Linked DNA regions of Schizosaccharomyces pombe. The gene in region 2 interacts genetically with the main gene of each other region. Each region holds a gene or a part of one and is shown on either strand. Other genes may lie near its edges.

What was found. Genes that interact genetically often act in the same process or in processes that back each other up.
Region 1: mutations in gar2 (region 2) and bmt2 together harm fitness more than expected from each alone (negative genetic interaction), as found in Schizosaccharomyces pombe (one large-scale study listed by BioGRID).

The regions. Positions count from the first base shown.
Region 1 is NC_003424.3:361,814-367,051, reverse strand, and holds bmt2 (rRNA (adenine) methyltransferase Bmt2), read right to left. Parts: upstream 1,608-5,238; 5' UTR 1,503-1,607; coding exon 690-1,502; 3' UTR 610-689; downstream 1-609. Other genes in the region: protein Vps55, read right to left, coding at 12-84, 161-179, 235-251; mug58 (glycerate kinase), read left to right, coding at 3,450-4,283; protein mug177, read right to left, coding at 5,178-5,238.
Region 2 is NC_003424.3:1,893,697-1,901,636, reverse strand, and holds gar2 (nucleolin), read right to left. Parts: upstream 4,176-7,940; 5' UTR 4,115-4,175; coding exon 2,612-4,114; 3' UTR 2,146-2,611; downstream 1-2,145. Other genes in the region: arb1 (argonaute inhibitor protein 1), read right to left, coding at 206-938, 1,000-1,251, 1,291-1,308, 1,348-1,430, 1,472-1,585; sdh2 (succinate dehydrogenase iron-sulfur subunit protein), read right to left, coding at 5,346-6,173. UniProt on the Schizosaccharomyces pombe protein: Helps the assembly of pre-ribosomal particles containing 18S rRNA.

The sequences.
Region 1 (5,238 bases), 1.5 Mb from region 2:
CAAAATCATACCAATTAGCAGTGGATACCAATTCTTGAATAAAGCACAAGACAGGATCACCAGCATAAATCCTACTGCCAGGACCTTAATAATATAAGTTAGACTCGTTTAAAATGGAATTGATGTCTAGCTCGAGTAGGAGTCATTGAGCGATGCATACCGAAGAAAGACCGATAATTCTAATTGGTGACAAACGTTAACCTTTGCTTTTTCATATTAACAAAAATTACTTACTTCCTGAGGTCGGACATATTTAATTACTATCGTTCACGAATATATACTGCAAGCTAAAGTTTACTGCTTTTGAGAAGAGAGACTTCGATGATTACCAGCTACTTCACCTAAAAAGGGTACGCTCCATTACGTTATACAGATGTGTTCTGTATGCATAGAACACAGAGCGGTGCACAAGATTTGTAAACTTGGCAAATAAGTTTAAAAAGACATATAACGAAAATGACTTGTTACTATTTTTTACACCAATGATCGAGCTTTCGGCTCATTAGTAAAGTATCGCATACGAACAAACTCTGAAAAACGTACTTTGTAGCTACGTAAGTAAAGGCTAGTAATTGACATTAACAATACAATTAAAAAAAAGCAAGAGGATAACCGACAAAAAGCATTCATTTCATTAATTTAACTTTGAGATACTAGTAAAATAAATTTTGTATTGACAAATATCTTAATTAGAGTATACAGGGAATGAAGAAATTATTCCTAGTTGCCCCATCATTAACGATCTTCTTTTTCCAGTCTATTTCTTTCATAGGAAAACACTCGTAAGAATATAAATAGTAGGCTATTTTTTTCGATATAGACTTTTGACGACAGATAAATCCAAACTGTATCATAATTGAGTGTAATGTTTTTTCATCCATGTACCGAGAATTTGTTATGCAAGGCGAAGGCAAAACCAAAAATAACCAAGGAGGCTGTTCTTTATTAGGAGGCATTAACAATCCTGTACAATGTAATAACATTTTAGCTCGGAGTTCTGGAGGTGCAAAATTCAGCACAAGTGAACAACTTATCCCAGTAAAAAGTCCTTCTTCAGGAGTTCTTTCAAGAAAGTCCTGTTGTTTAATCAAGGGATGAACAGAATGCAAATCAATCCTTGAAACTCGGAAAAGTCCACAAGTTGAACATTTGTTGTCAACAGAAACACTGCCAATTTCCAACAAATCTTTCGGCTCCTTAAGACGTGCGCAATACGAAAAACAGGGAGTTGTCCGAATCCATTTTATCAATATTTTACTTGAATCCCCTCCTTTTCCTTCCGCTTGACCGGATCGACTAGCTCGTTGGTAAGCATCAATACCTATATTTTCGAGTTCACTTTCCACATTTTTTATTTTTTCAATCGGAGCACTTGACGCAATAAGTCGAGATTTCTCTTTTAACAGGTTATGATAATGACGAATAAGCTTATTCCCCTTCAGTCCCTTTGCATTATCAATGTTGTTTTTTCCAATGCGATTCTTCACTGGAATGGGACGCATTCAAATAGTGATAAAATATTTGTTAATCTCCCAGATGAAAATATAATTGTATTTACAGTAAATGGTTCATAAATGTAGTTTCCTAATTACTTGAAAAGTTTTTACGATGAAAGAAGTAGTGTCGCGTTACTTATAAAAATTCAGCACAAGAAGAGCTTGGACAATGTATGATAAATTCTTAATATGTAATTAAAGAGCGGTAATTTATGCAACCCTTTAACCATTACACAGAATATTAAACGGGTTTCCTTTTTTTATACGGTTTGTACTTTACAAGCACAAATCAACTTTTTTTATATTTGAAACAAAAATTTAAAGGCTTTGGGCTTCGAGGGGGATCGAACCCCTGACCACTTCGACCCAAACGAAGTATGCTACCACTACACCACGAAGCCTCAGTTGATATTGTGCTTTGAAAACTGTATATATAGTTATTAGATTTACTTGATTATTAACTAAACTTTTTCAATTGTTTTTAAAAAATAATCAAAATAAAGAAAACAACCGCCAAATATGGTAGAACTATAACATAAAAAAATTCGGATAAATAAACAGCCAATATCAACTTCTCTCTTAAATTGTTTTAAATGATTCCACTCATCAGTTACGTTACGATATAATTGATATAAGTTATTTTTAAAAGAAAGTAATAAATGTGTATAAATATGTATATACGACAGCTATTGAAAAGTATTTTGGTAAATTCTAAACTAACGATTTATATCTAGTGGAATTGGATAAGGGACTTTATTTATTATTTCTTAAATAAAATACATTTTAAAAAATAAAAAAAAATAAAAAAAGAAAAGAAAAGAATTTGGTGTACTACGGATTACCTTAAGTTTTTAAGTTAAACGGGTGAAGTGTAAGTATTTATGATATGAAAACCATAGAAACATTTTTGTATTTTTACTACTTACAGACGAATTCTAATTGTTTCACCAGACTATATACTATTAAAACAAATAAGTGCTTCAAAAATAATTATTGTAGATTAAATTTTCTTGATAACTCAAACTTGAGTAAATTAATTTTTTAGAGTATATGTTAAAAAAATAAATACTTTTAGTTTAATTAAACGTACAAAAAGTGTTAACAAACATTATGTACCTGTAAACAAAATGTAATAATTAAATATAAATAATATTTGTAACTGCGGCTGCTATCGCATTGGATGGGGGACTGATTGTTGTACATTTCAGCTAAACTTATTTTTACAAGTTACTTTATTTACTGACACAATAAATTGCGTGTTTTTTTTGGATTACTATAGAAAAAACACATACGTTAGCACTGGAATATTATTATTTAGCTATAAAAGTCGCAAGAGACAAGTATGACAATTTAAAGACAAAGTATAAAATGCATATTACCTAAATTCTTCAGCATTTGAGCTATACTGCATGGCATCAAGATTAAACAATTTAAAAGTTAGCCGTCATTGTAGAAAATATAACTACAGAAATTCTATTATCCCTGAAAATCCAGAGCATCACCAAATTTTATTATGTATCTTCTATTTACTTATAGGTAAAAACAAAACATTTACAGCGTTACAACTTTCCAAATAGTGAGGCGCAGTGAAGCCGTTTCCAAGTATTACAGAGTTTACGCAAGCATTCAGTATATTGGCACAAATGAGACGTAACGGAATGTTAGTGATACAACATCCCGTAACAAAACTTTGTTGGTAAAATCCAACCATTGCATAACGACTTTAGCCTTTTAAAAAGCTTTTTGTGTTTGTAGTCCTTTACTGGTAGTCGTTACGAAAGTATCTAGTCACTGTGGTACTTAACATTGAATTTTCATATAGCTACAGCACCTCGCTTTCTTTCACATTTCGAGTATTAGTCCTACGTCTTTCCTATACTTATGTTATTAAGTCGTTTTTAAGGGGAAGCTAGGTTTTGTATTTAATTTAAAAATTTTATATAGAAGTGGAATATGAGTTCGTTGGAAATCATTGTCGACAAAATTTTAAAATTCCTGGAAAAGCAGCCAAAACCTGAAGGTCGTCCTTTTATTCTTGGAATTTCCGGCCCTCAAGGATCTGGTAAAAGCACACTGGCAAGTGCTTTAGATACCGAATTAACAAGGAAGAACGAATCAGTTGTGAAGTTCTCACTTGACGACTTTTACCTCACGCACGCAGAACAAGTTGAATTGGCCAAAAATAATCCCAATAATCCTCTTGTTCAACATCGTGGTTTAGCTGGAACCCATGATGTCACATTTTTAAATAATGTTTTAAATGCATTTGTTAAGGGAAGCGATGAGGAGGTATCTATCCCTTTTTACGATAAATCCAAGTTTGGTGGCTACGGAGATAGGGGAGATGAATCCCAATGGAAAAAGGCAAATCCTAAAACAACTACCTATGTAATTTTTGAAGGATGGATGGTTGGGTTTGAGCCGCTCGATTCTTGCATGCTGTCTGTCCGAGCACGATCAACACGTTGGCAAAATATTGAAGGAAGTTTACTGTGGGTAAACAGAAAGCTTGCAGATTATCAGCCTATCTTTCAAAAAATTGACTCTTTGGTGGAACTAGAGGCACAAGAGATAAACTATGTTTACAGATGGAGACTGCAGCAAGAGCATGCTTTGAAAGCTCGGATCCACAAGGGTATGAGTGATGAAGAAGTCATTGAATTTGTTAATCATTATATGCCCCAATATGTCTTTTATCTTGGTACCTTATCTAATAAAGTACATCTGAATCCACACTGTTTGGAAATCATACTTGATGAGAACCGATATCCTGTTGTTATGCATTGATGTATTTGTCTAAGATTTAAATCCCATGATTGTATAGCGTTCCTGTACTTTGGAATACTTTTTACGCTCCCCCCTTTCCTTGAACAAAGTTTTTACCTCTACTTTTTCTTTAATTCCAACTTTCTTTTGAAGTAACCCATCAAGGTTTGACCGACAAAAGCTTTTTATGATATTGTTGTATGCTTTTTCTAGCAAGCTGCTTTTAGACGATGTAAACCATCTTTGTAAAACTTAACAATGCGCTGCTATCACGTTCGACAATTCACCGTTTCTAATAAATGCTCCCATGGCGAATAGCCTTTTTCGCTATTTATTGGTTTGCTTCGGTTGTGACGCTTTAAGTACAAGTTTGTTAACTAGAAATATCAAGCATTTTTAATAATGTGATATTCGGTGGGCGGTTGTTGATATGCTTATTGCCAGTAGTCATGAAATAATGATACCAGCGAGTAATAAAATAGCAGTAGGTAAAAGGAAATGAATAAAAACAAAACAATGGTGAAAGCCTGTTGGTCGCATGTAGTCGAAAGCCGTTTTAATGATTGTATGTGAGGTCATAAAAACCAGTAATTTAAACGAATGCAATATTGATATCCGCTTTCACATTGTTTCCAATACCACATGCCATTCATATGCTGTTACATACAGAAACTCAACGAAACATTGAATTTAGCTTAATTTGAAAAGTGGAAAAAGAAGAAAAAACTCGATACTCTTATTTAATGTCACTACGCTCATTGGCCGTATGTCAAGTTGAAACGATTAAGGTCATGGGTTCACTGCAAAGGGTTTGTTCATCACGAAAACAAGCGTTTATTAAGCGCACCGAGATAGACGAAGTTCCCTTTGAGCGGACCATTCAGGATGACTCAATATGAAGGATAAAAGATGCAATCACAGATGGGAATCAACCGTCGGAGTAAATAGACAAACTTGGTCGGCTTGTTTAAGGCAC
Region 2 (7,940 bases):
ATTACATACACAAGTAATATCTATTATGTGATTGGGAATTATAATTTCTTATACTTATTGTTTATGCAATTGGGGGAAGTACGAACTCACCAACGGGTCATTAATATATGTTAGAACTTTATCCTCATCACAATAAGAAGAAGCAACTAATTAAAGGATTTCATATCCAGCTATATTACAAAAGTAACTATATTAAAATACAATGCTATTCATCTTTAACTTCTTCATAAAAGGTGGGTAGCACAGCAAGCACAGTGTCTAATATAGTCAGTCCATTATCCAAAAAAGTGAACGATCCCTCTAAGTGAGTGCCATCAACAGTGTTGTTCAGTAAATCAGATTCCAAAATTACTTCTAGTCTTTCCTTATTTGTATCTTGAGAATATTTAGATCCGGGTGGATCCCAAACGATAAACACTGCTTTGCATAAAGATTGGTTTGAAAAATTCAATAGCGTTTTAGAAACTAACTTGACTGTTAAGTACTCTTGTTCAACGACTTTCCCAGTCAAATATCGTGGACCAAGAGTTCTCTGGATGTAGTCGCGCGCTTGCTGTGTAGAAAATCTACTAATTCCATCAGGCTCAAATAGTTCATCATTTGGCATGAATTTGGTATTATTGGATTCAATGAAATTGACTGAACTATCACTTGTCCTATCACTTTGCGATTTGTCCCATAAGCCTTTATAATTGTCAACATGTATACTAGCCAATGCCCGCTGCAATCTACCGGGAAGTTTAGTTGATAGCCTCTTATTAGAAATTAATTCAGTTTCTGCTTGCTCTGCTAATAAACATGCGTCACGAATATTATCTTCGAATTCTGGTGCAACATTGTTATGCAAAACACTTAGCAGAAAATTTCTAACAATTTGACAAGCTATTTGCAAATCCTCTTCCTTAGTTAGTCCAGCGTTATACAAAATGTGTGACGACCTTAAATTGATTAGCTAAAATACAACGTGAATTAAATTCAATGGAAACATAAATGACTCACAGAAATACTCCAGCAACCCACTTAAAATCAATATCATATTCATCAAGTATATCGTATTCAATATAATCAGTCGTGGTTTGAGCGGAAACTTCTCGTGCCTTCGCATCGTTATTAATATCAGTACCCCCTGTAAACTGTTTTTGGCCCGTAGAAACGCCTCCTAAATCTAGATACATTGTAAACAGTCTTATTCTTGTAGGGTCGCTCCATTTTCTGCGTGATCGATATCTTTGAATAAATCGCTCCATTCGCCTAATTTGTCAGCAAAGTCCTTAACATCTGTTTACTAACACAGTCAATGGTATGTTCCTAGAAGTGTTAGTAAGACACAATATTTTGTATTCTCACCTGCTGTATAATGTCTCATTTTCCAATTTCTCTTCAGCTGTCAGTTCGGGTTCTTGAAAATAAGGCTCCCATCCAGACAATCCCTAATATTTATTAGACGGGTTTTCTAAAGCTTAAGAAATACCCTCTTTTTTCTTCTATTACCGAGACTTTTTCCTGTACGTTTTTTAAAAGTAGTAAATTCCACGCTATCGCCAATACAACCTGTACTGTCATTTTTAAAATCACCTTCTGCCATCACTCAATCACTTCATCTGGACTGGAAAGTCAGTACACTAGTCGTATAGTTGATTTACTAGTTTATCAGTGTGGTAAGGGGAATCTAAGGAACCAAATTTACAGTGTTGTATTAGAAGCTTTGTTCATAGAGTTAAGTAGACAGTTCCTTTGCCGGATTTAGTAACGCTGGATATATTATTCTACAACCGTTTTTTGAATATGCCAGAACTCATCACTACTGTTACAATTGAATTTAGCTATATTATAATTTGATATACAAAAATATTTTTTTTTAATTTGCTTAAAATAATCGCAACCAAAGTGTAAGTAAACATGCTTGTATTAATTTAAAAGTTGAAATAGAAGCGTATTTGTAATGTAGAATCAATGATACCTTCTATTGATGCTTACCTAATTTAATAGACGAGACATTACAAGTTGAAGATATAAGACAATATGACAATGGCTCGACTACATTCTTCATTTATGATTACGGGTAAGACCACAATCAAAGTTCAACAAAAAATCATTAATTTAAAGTGCCGTATGGAAAAGCCCAAAAAGGAACACAAAACGGTCTTCATTTACTAGCTATTAGAAAGTGATCAACGATGATTGTGAGTAACATGGATTGATTAGATGAACAAGAACAAAACTAAATAAGATTCTATTTTATATTAAAACCTATCTAAAGCTATGTCAAAAGCTTCTATGGAACGTATAAAGGAAAGGTGAATACATGAACTAAACCGTAGAACAACGCCAACCATCACTGCTTTGAAATTGTAAAACCAACGGGCCCATATTTATTATCTTTATAAAGTCAATAAAACCAAACCAAACCCAAATTCATTCCATAACAAACCCAAACAAGTCATTTGTATTTGAATACTTCAACCCAATTAAATCAAATCCACAGCCCAACATTTATTAAAACCCTTTATGCCAAAAAGTTTCCCAAAAACCCAAACTCATATATTAATTTGCTAAGGTATTTACATTTAACCCATAAAAATGAACTCAATATAGTTAAAAGCCAGTATACTTAGTCAAAAGTGACTTTGTTCCCAGAAAATGGAGCAACCGAGCCACGGTTGGGGTTTCCAGAGCGAGCACCACCTCTACCGCGACCACGTCCGCCACCAAATCCACCACGGCCACCGAATCCACCACGACCGCCAAATCCACCGCGACCACCACGGCTACCTCCACCAGTACGAGGAGTTGAAAAGTCCAAACGACATGGGCGACCAGCAATAAAATGACCGTTCATTTCCACACATTTCTTGGCAGAGTCAATATCAGAGAAAGTAACATAACCGAAACCCTTAAGACGTCCTGACTGAGGATCTGTGGGCAAACGAATGGATTGAATGTCACCGCAACCGCCAAAAGCCGTACTGAGATCATCTTCAGTTGCGTTAAAAGACAAATTTCCAACAAATACGGTATCACTAGGTTCAGATAATTGGTCTCCAAAATTACCCGCACGTTGTTGAGCATATGGTTGAGGGTTGGCTGGGCGAGGATTAGAGAGATCTAAGTTGACCATACGACCATCAATTTCCTTGGTACCATTAGCGGCAACAGCAGCCTTAGCAGCCTCAGGGGTCTCAAAATCAACGTAGCCGTAACCCTTTGAGCGACCGCTTTGGCCATCCATAATAACACGTGCACCAACAATTGTACCGTACTCTTCAAATTCCTGCCCTAACCACTGATCATCTACGTTCCAAGAAAGACGACCGACGAAAACAGTGCAAGTCTCGTTAGAATCTTGAGAAGGCTTGGTAATCTTAGCAGGTCTTTCTTCAGAAGCAGGCTCGGCTTTACGTTTCTTCTCGTCTTCAGAGCTGGATTCGGATTCAGAATCAGAGGAAGAGTCGCTGTCTCCAGATTCTGAGGAGGAATCTGACGAGGATTCGGAGTCAGAAGAAGACTCGCTGGAGCCTTCTTTCTTCTCTTCAGTCTTCTCGACCACCTCTTCTTCTTCCTCAGATTCAGATGAGGAAGATTCGGATTCAGATTCAGATGAGGAAGACTCGGAAGAAGAGTCACTAGAGCTCTCCTTCTTTTCTTCAATTTTTACAACAGCCTCTTCTTCCTCTTCAGACTCAGAGGAGGAAGATGATTCGCTGGAACTCTCCTTCTTCTCTTCAGTTTTCACAATCACTTCTTCTTCAGACTCAGACGAAGAGGATTCAGATGAAGATGATTCGGACTCTGAAGAACTAGATTCGGATTCTGAAGAGGAAGACTCGGATTCTGATGAGCTAGATTCAGACTCGGATTCTGAGGAGCTTTCTTCCTTCTTCTTAGATTTCTTTTGCTTTTTTACTGATTTCTTTGAAGGTTCGGGACTAGAAGCACGCTTAGCCTCCTTTTTAGATTTTTTAGGGGAGACATCGGTTTTAGAGCTTTGCTTTGCAATCTCTTTAGCAGCCTCCTTAGTAATCTTCTTGGACTTGGAAGGTTTCTCAATGGCACCCTTCTTTGATGCAGTCTCCTTCACTGATTTCTTAACGGAGGTTTTATCCTTTTTTGCCATTATATTCACAACCTATACCAAAAGCCCGTTTAAAAGAATTTGGGAGTTTTTTAGTTTGACTGCTGGTACGGCGCGACAAGCTGCTATATATAGCCAAAAAAATTTTTACCGATGATATATGTACCTGAAGCCGTATACTAGTATAGCAAATTTTCTAGACGTATTCGTTAAACTACTAATATAGAAGCTTGTTCAACTACTACTATTTTTTATAAAAGCGAGTTTAACTAATTACGCTATCAAGTAATAGCTATCTGCGCTATTCAACAACAAACCAGCAAAGTAAAATATTCGCCATTAATATTTAAAAAATGAGTGTGTCTGAAGGCTTATAACATGTCTTAAAGGTAAAAAGCATATTGAAATTTAATAAATTGTTGAATCAGTGAAACGAAGGAGTTAGGTTTAGTCTTGCGTAGTATTATCTGGAGTGGTGAATATGTAAATTCTTATGAACGATAACATCTTATCCAAGTTATTTGTGTTCGTCAAATATTATAAACTAAAAAGTGGCCGTGAAAATGTACATTGTTGATCCATTGAAATTTTAAAATCATGTTATAGTAACAAAAAATTTCGACCAGCCTATGGAGAATACCATGGTTTAATCGTCATATTAAGATTTATTTTTCTTTCATTATTGTGTACATGATTTCCGTTTTTATGTGATACTTTAATTAAATAAAAGATGCCTCATTTACTTATCTCAAGTTTTACAAAGCAATTACCTTAAAGGGCTCTCAATATGCTAAAAAGTTTTCAACTCTTTAACCAAAGAAGCAGCTGCTATGTTAAATGCAGTAACTAGCCACAAATAAACAGTGAAAAAAGTGGTTTAGATAATTTTCAAATACATGCTTAATTATTTCATCTGATGTAACAGCGTAAAAAATCACAATCAAACAATTCAATTGTGCACAAGTTACCACGAAATAGCATATTTTCTTTAAAATAGAAAAGTTTACCATTTCCCGAAATTATTAATGGTAAACTAGATTTAGATATTGCAAATAAAAATAAAGGGTTCATTAACGGGAACAACGCAAAAGTAATGGTCAGATCGAGAAAGTAATGTAGCATAGATGACAGCTAAACACAGAGCTACGCAAGTAAAAAAAATCGTAGAAGAGAAACATAAAATAGGTTAAGTAACAACGGGGGTTCCTCTTTAACAAGAAATATTGGAATCATCAGATGCGAAAGAAAAGACAAAAAGAAGCGTAAATCTTGTTTAAGCAGTAGCCATCAAAGCCTTTACCTTGGCAATGGCAAGGCCAGGGTTCAAACCCTTGGGACAAGTACGAGCGCAATTCATAATGGTATGGCAACGATAGACAGACATAGAGTTCTGCATGACATCCAAACGTTTAGCAGTAGCTTGATCACGAGAATCGATGATCCAACGATAAGCCTGCATCAAAACTGCTGGGCCAAGATACTCTTCTGAGTTCCACCAGTAAGATGGACAAGAGGTAGAACAACAGGCACACAAAATACATTCATACAAACCGTCAAGCTTGGCACGGTCAGCGCGAGATTGGTAAAACTCCTTGTCTTTAGGGATGTTATCGTTTTGCAACCAGGGTTCAATACTCTTATATTGCTTATAAAAGTAGGTTAGGTCAGGTACGAGATCCTTTACGATGAAGCAATGAGGTAAGGGGTAAATTTTAGTAGGTTTGTTATCTTTTTTAATGTTACAGATGCAAGCCAAAGTATTACTGCCATTAATATTCATCGCACAAGACCCGCAAATACCTTCTCTGCATGAGCGACGGAACGTTAAGGTAGGATCTTGCTCATTTTTGATTTTAATAAGCGCATCCAAAACCATTGGTCCGCATTTTGTTAAGTCGACTGTATACTTTTGAAGCTTTGGCTTTACTTCTGGTTTCTCTGGGTTCCAGCGATAAATCTCGAAAGTTTTTAAATTTTCACCCTGTGACTGAGGATTAGCAGAAGTGGCAGATATGTTGGCCTCTGTAGCCATCATACGGGCATTTCTGTTAACAAAATGCTTCAAAAACGGGCTCAAAACTTGAATTCGACGGCTGAACATCTCGATATGTTTTGATTTTTAATATTGGCAGTTGGTAAGACTGGTAAAGGCGAGCGTTGTGGTTGGCTATTATAGATGGAAACAGAATCAATTTTATTGGCGGCAGAAAAATACATTAAATTTTTCACTCATATCCAAAATAAAACTTTTAAATATTTTTGTGTATTAAATTTAACAGTTTCTTCAAAAAAAAATCCCCCGTACATCTAAAACATGTATGGGGATCGCGTGTTTACTGGCCTGTCGTAGACAGCGTTAAATTATTTACGCGATAGGAAGTTGGCTAACGTATTACTCGCTTAAGTGCAGTTAGTCAAGATGGTCAAAGCGGTTTATCCAAACAAATTTAGTTAATTAATGTTTAAATACGCATACTTCGAGTTTTAATATTACTTCCGTAAAATAAATATTCAAAAAAAAAACCTATTTATTTGGTAGAACTGTATGACTTTAATCTCGTCTCTTTTCATATAAGGTGCTATTAACTGATTAATAAACCGGTAACCTAATAACCCTTGAGCCGAATTACTGCCAAATTTACAAAACAATCATGTAGATTAGAGTGAAAGGATAGACAGTATGAAAATATTAGAGTCATATTAAAAAATAAATACTTTCTGTAATTGATAATTTAATTAAAATAAAAAACAAAAGTCGAGAAATACAAGAAAATTACATGTTTGCCCTATTTTCAAATTAGGTTTTAATTTAGAGATTAGAAAAACATGGTTAATTATACGGAACTTATTTGCACAAAAACTTTTTACCGTTACAAATCTAATTCATTATACAACCCTCCGAAATCGGAAAGAATATTTTTCTGCTGCTTTTTAATAGGGCTACATCCAACTGAAGATTAGTCTGCCAACCTAATCTTCAAGTTTTCCATTCTTCACTAAAAGCTAATGTAACCTGTTATTAATTGATTTAACATACTAATTATAAAAAGCTGACATCTTAGCTACACACTAAATTATTATTATTATTATTTTTAAATTTTTTTAAAAGCACAAAATGCAGCACATGTAGCAAAACAACGCTATTTTTTTTTTTTGAATTGGGTTTAAAAAATAGTTTACTGTATTCAATCTCAACGGGTCTGATTGCATTTGCTTACAGTTCTATAAATTACTTACTTTCTAATTTTTATTTCATTTAAAACTTACTGAAATATTCATTCGCTTACTATGAGTTTATTTTACATTACGAGCTAAGACGGTGTTAGCTGACCTGGTTGCTTCTATAACTAAACAAATGTATAATGAACAAAGACTTATATACATATATTGATTAAATATTTAAAAAATATCGTAGCTGATAAAATTGTGATGGGTTCTTTAGCGACAGCAAAAGCAAACCTCTGAACTTTGTTATTAAAAAAATGCAACAAATTCCACTGGTAAGAAAAATATCTTCGAATGATCATTTGTTTAGTTATGCTCAGCAAAATAGTTTTACTTTTTTCAGTTTTTTGCCTTTTTTATTTCCTTGCAGTGTTTCCTCTATATAATTGTATCTATTACATATCTATATGCTTTGAGGGTGTAATTATTATTTTTATTTAGACCATTTCAAGTTTCATATTACAAGATTAGGAAATATGATTACTGGCTTCGGTTTCAATTGGTTCATCAAATTCATATTTTTTAAATATCAACAACTTATTAAAGAACTAATAATTGACCAGTTTCTTAAAACGGGTGATATAAAAACTTTTAATAACTGATACACTATGTCGATGCCGTATTGTTTCCCATTTCCTTTTGT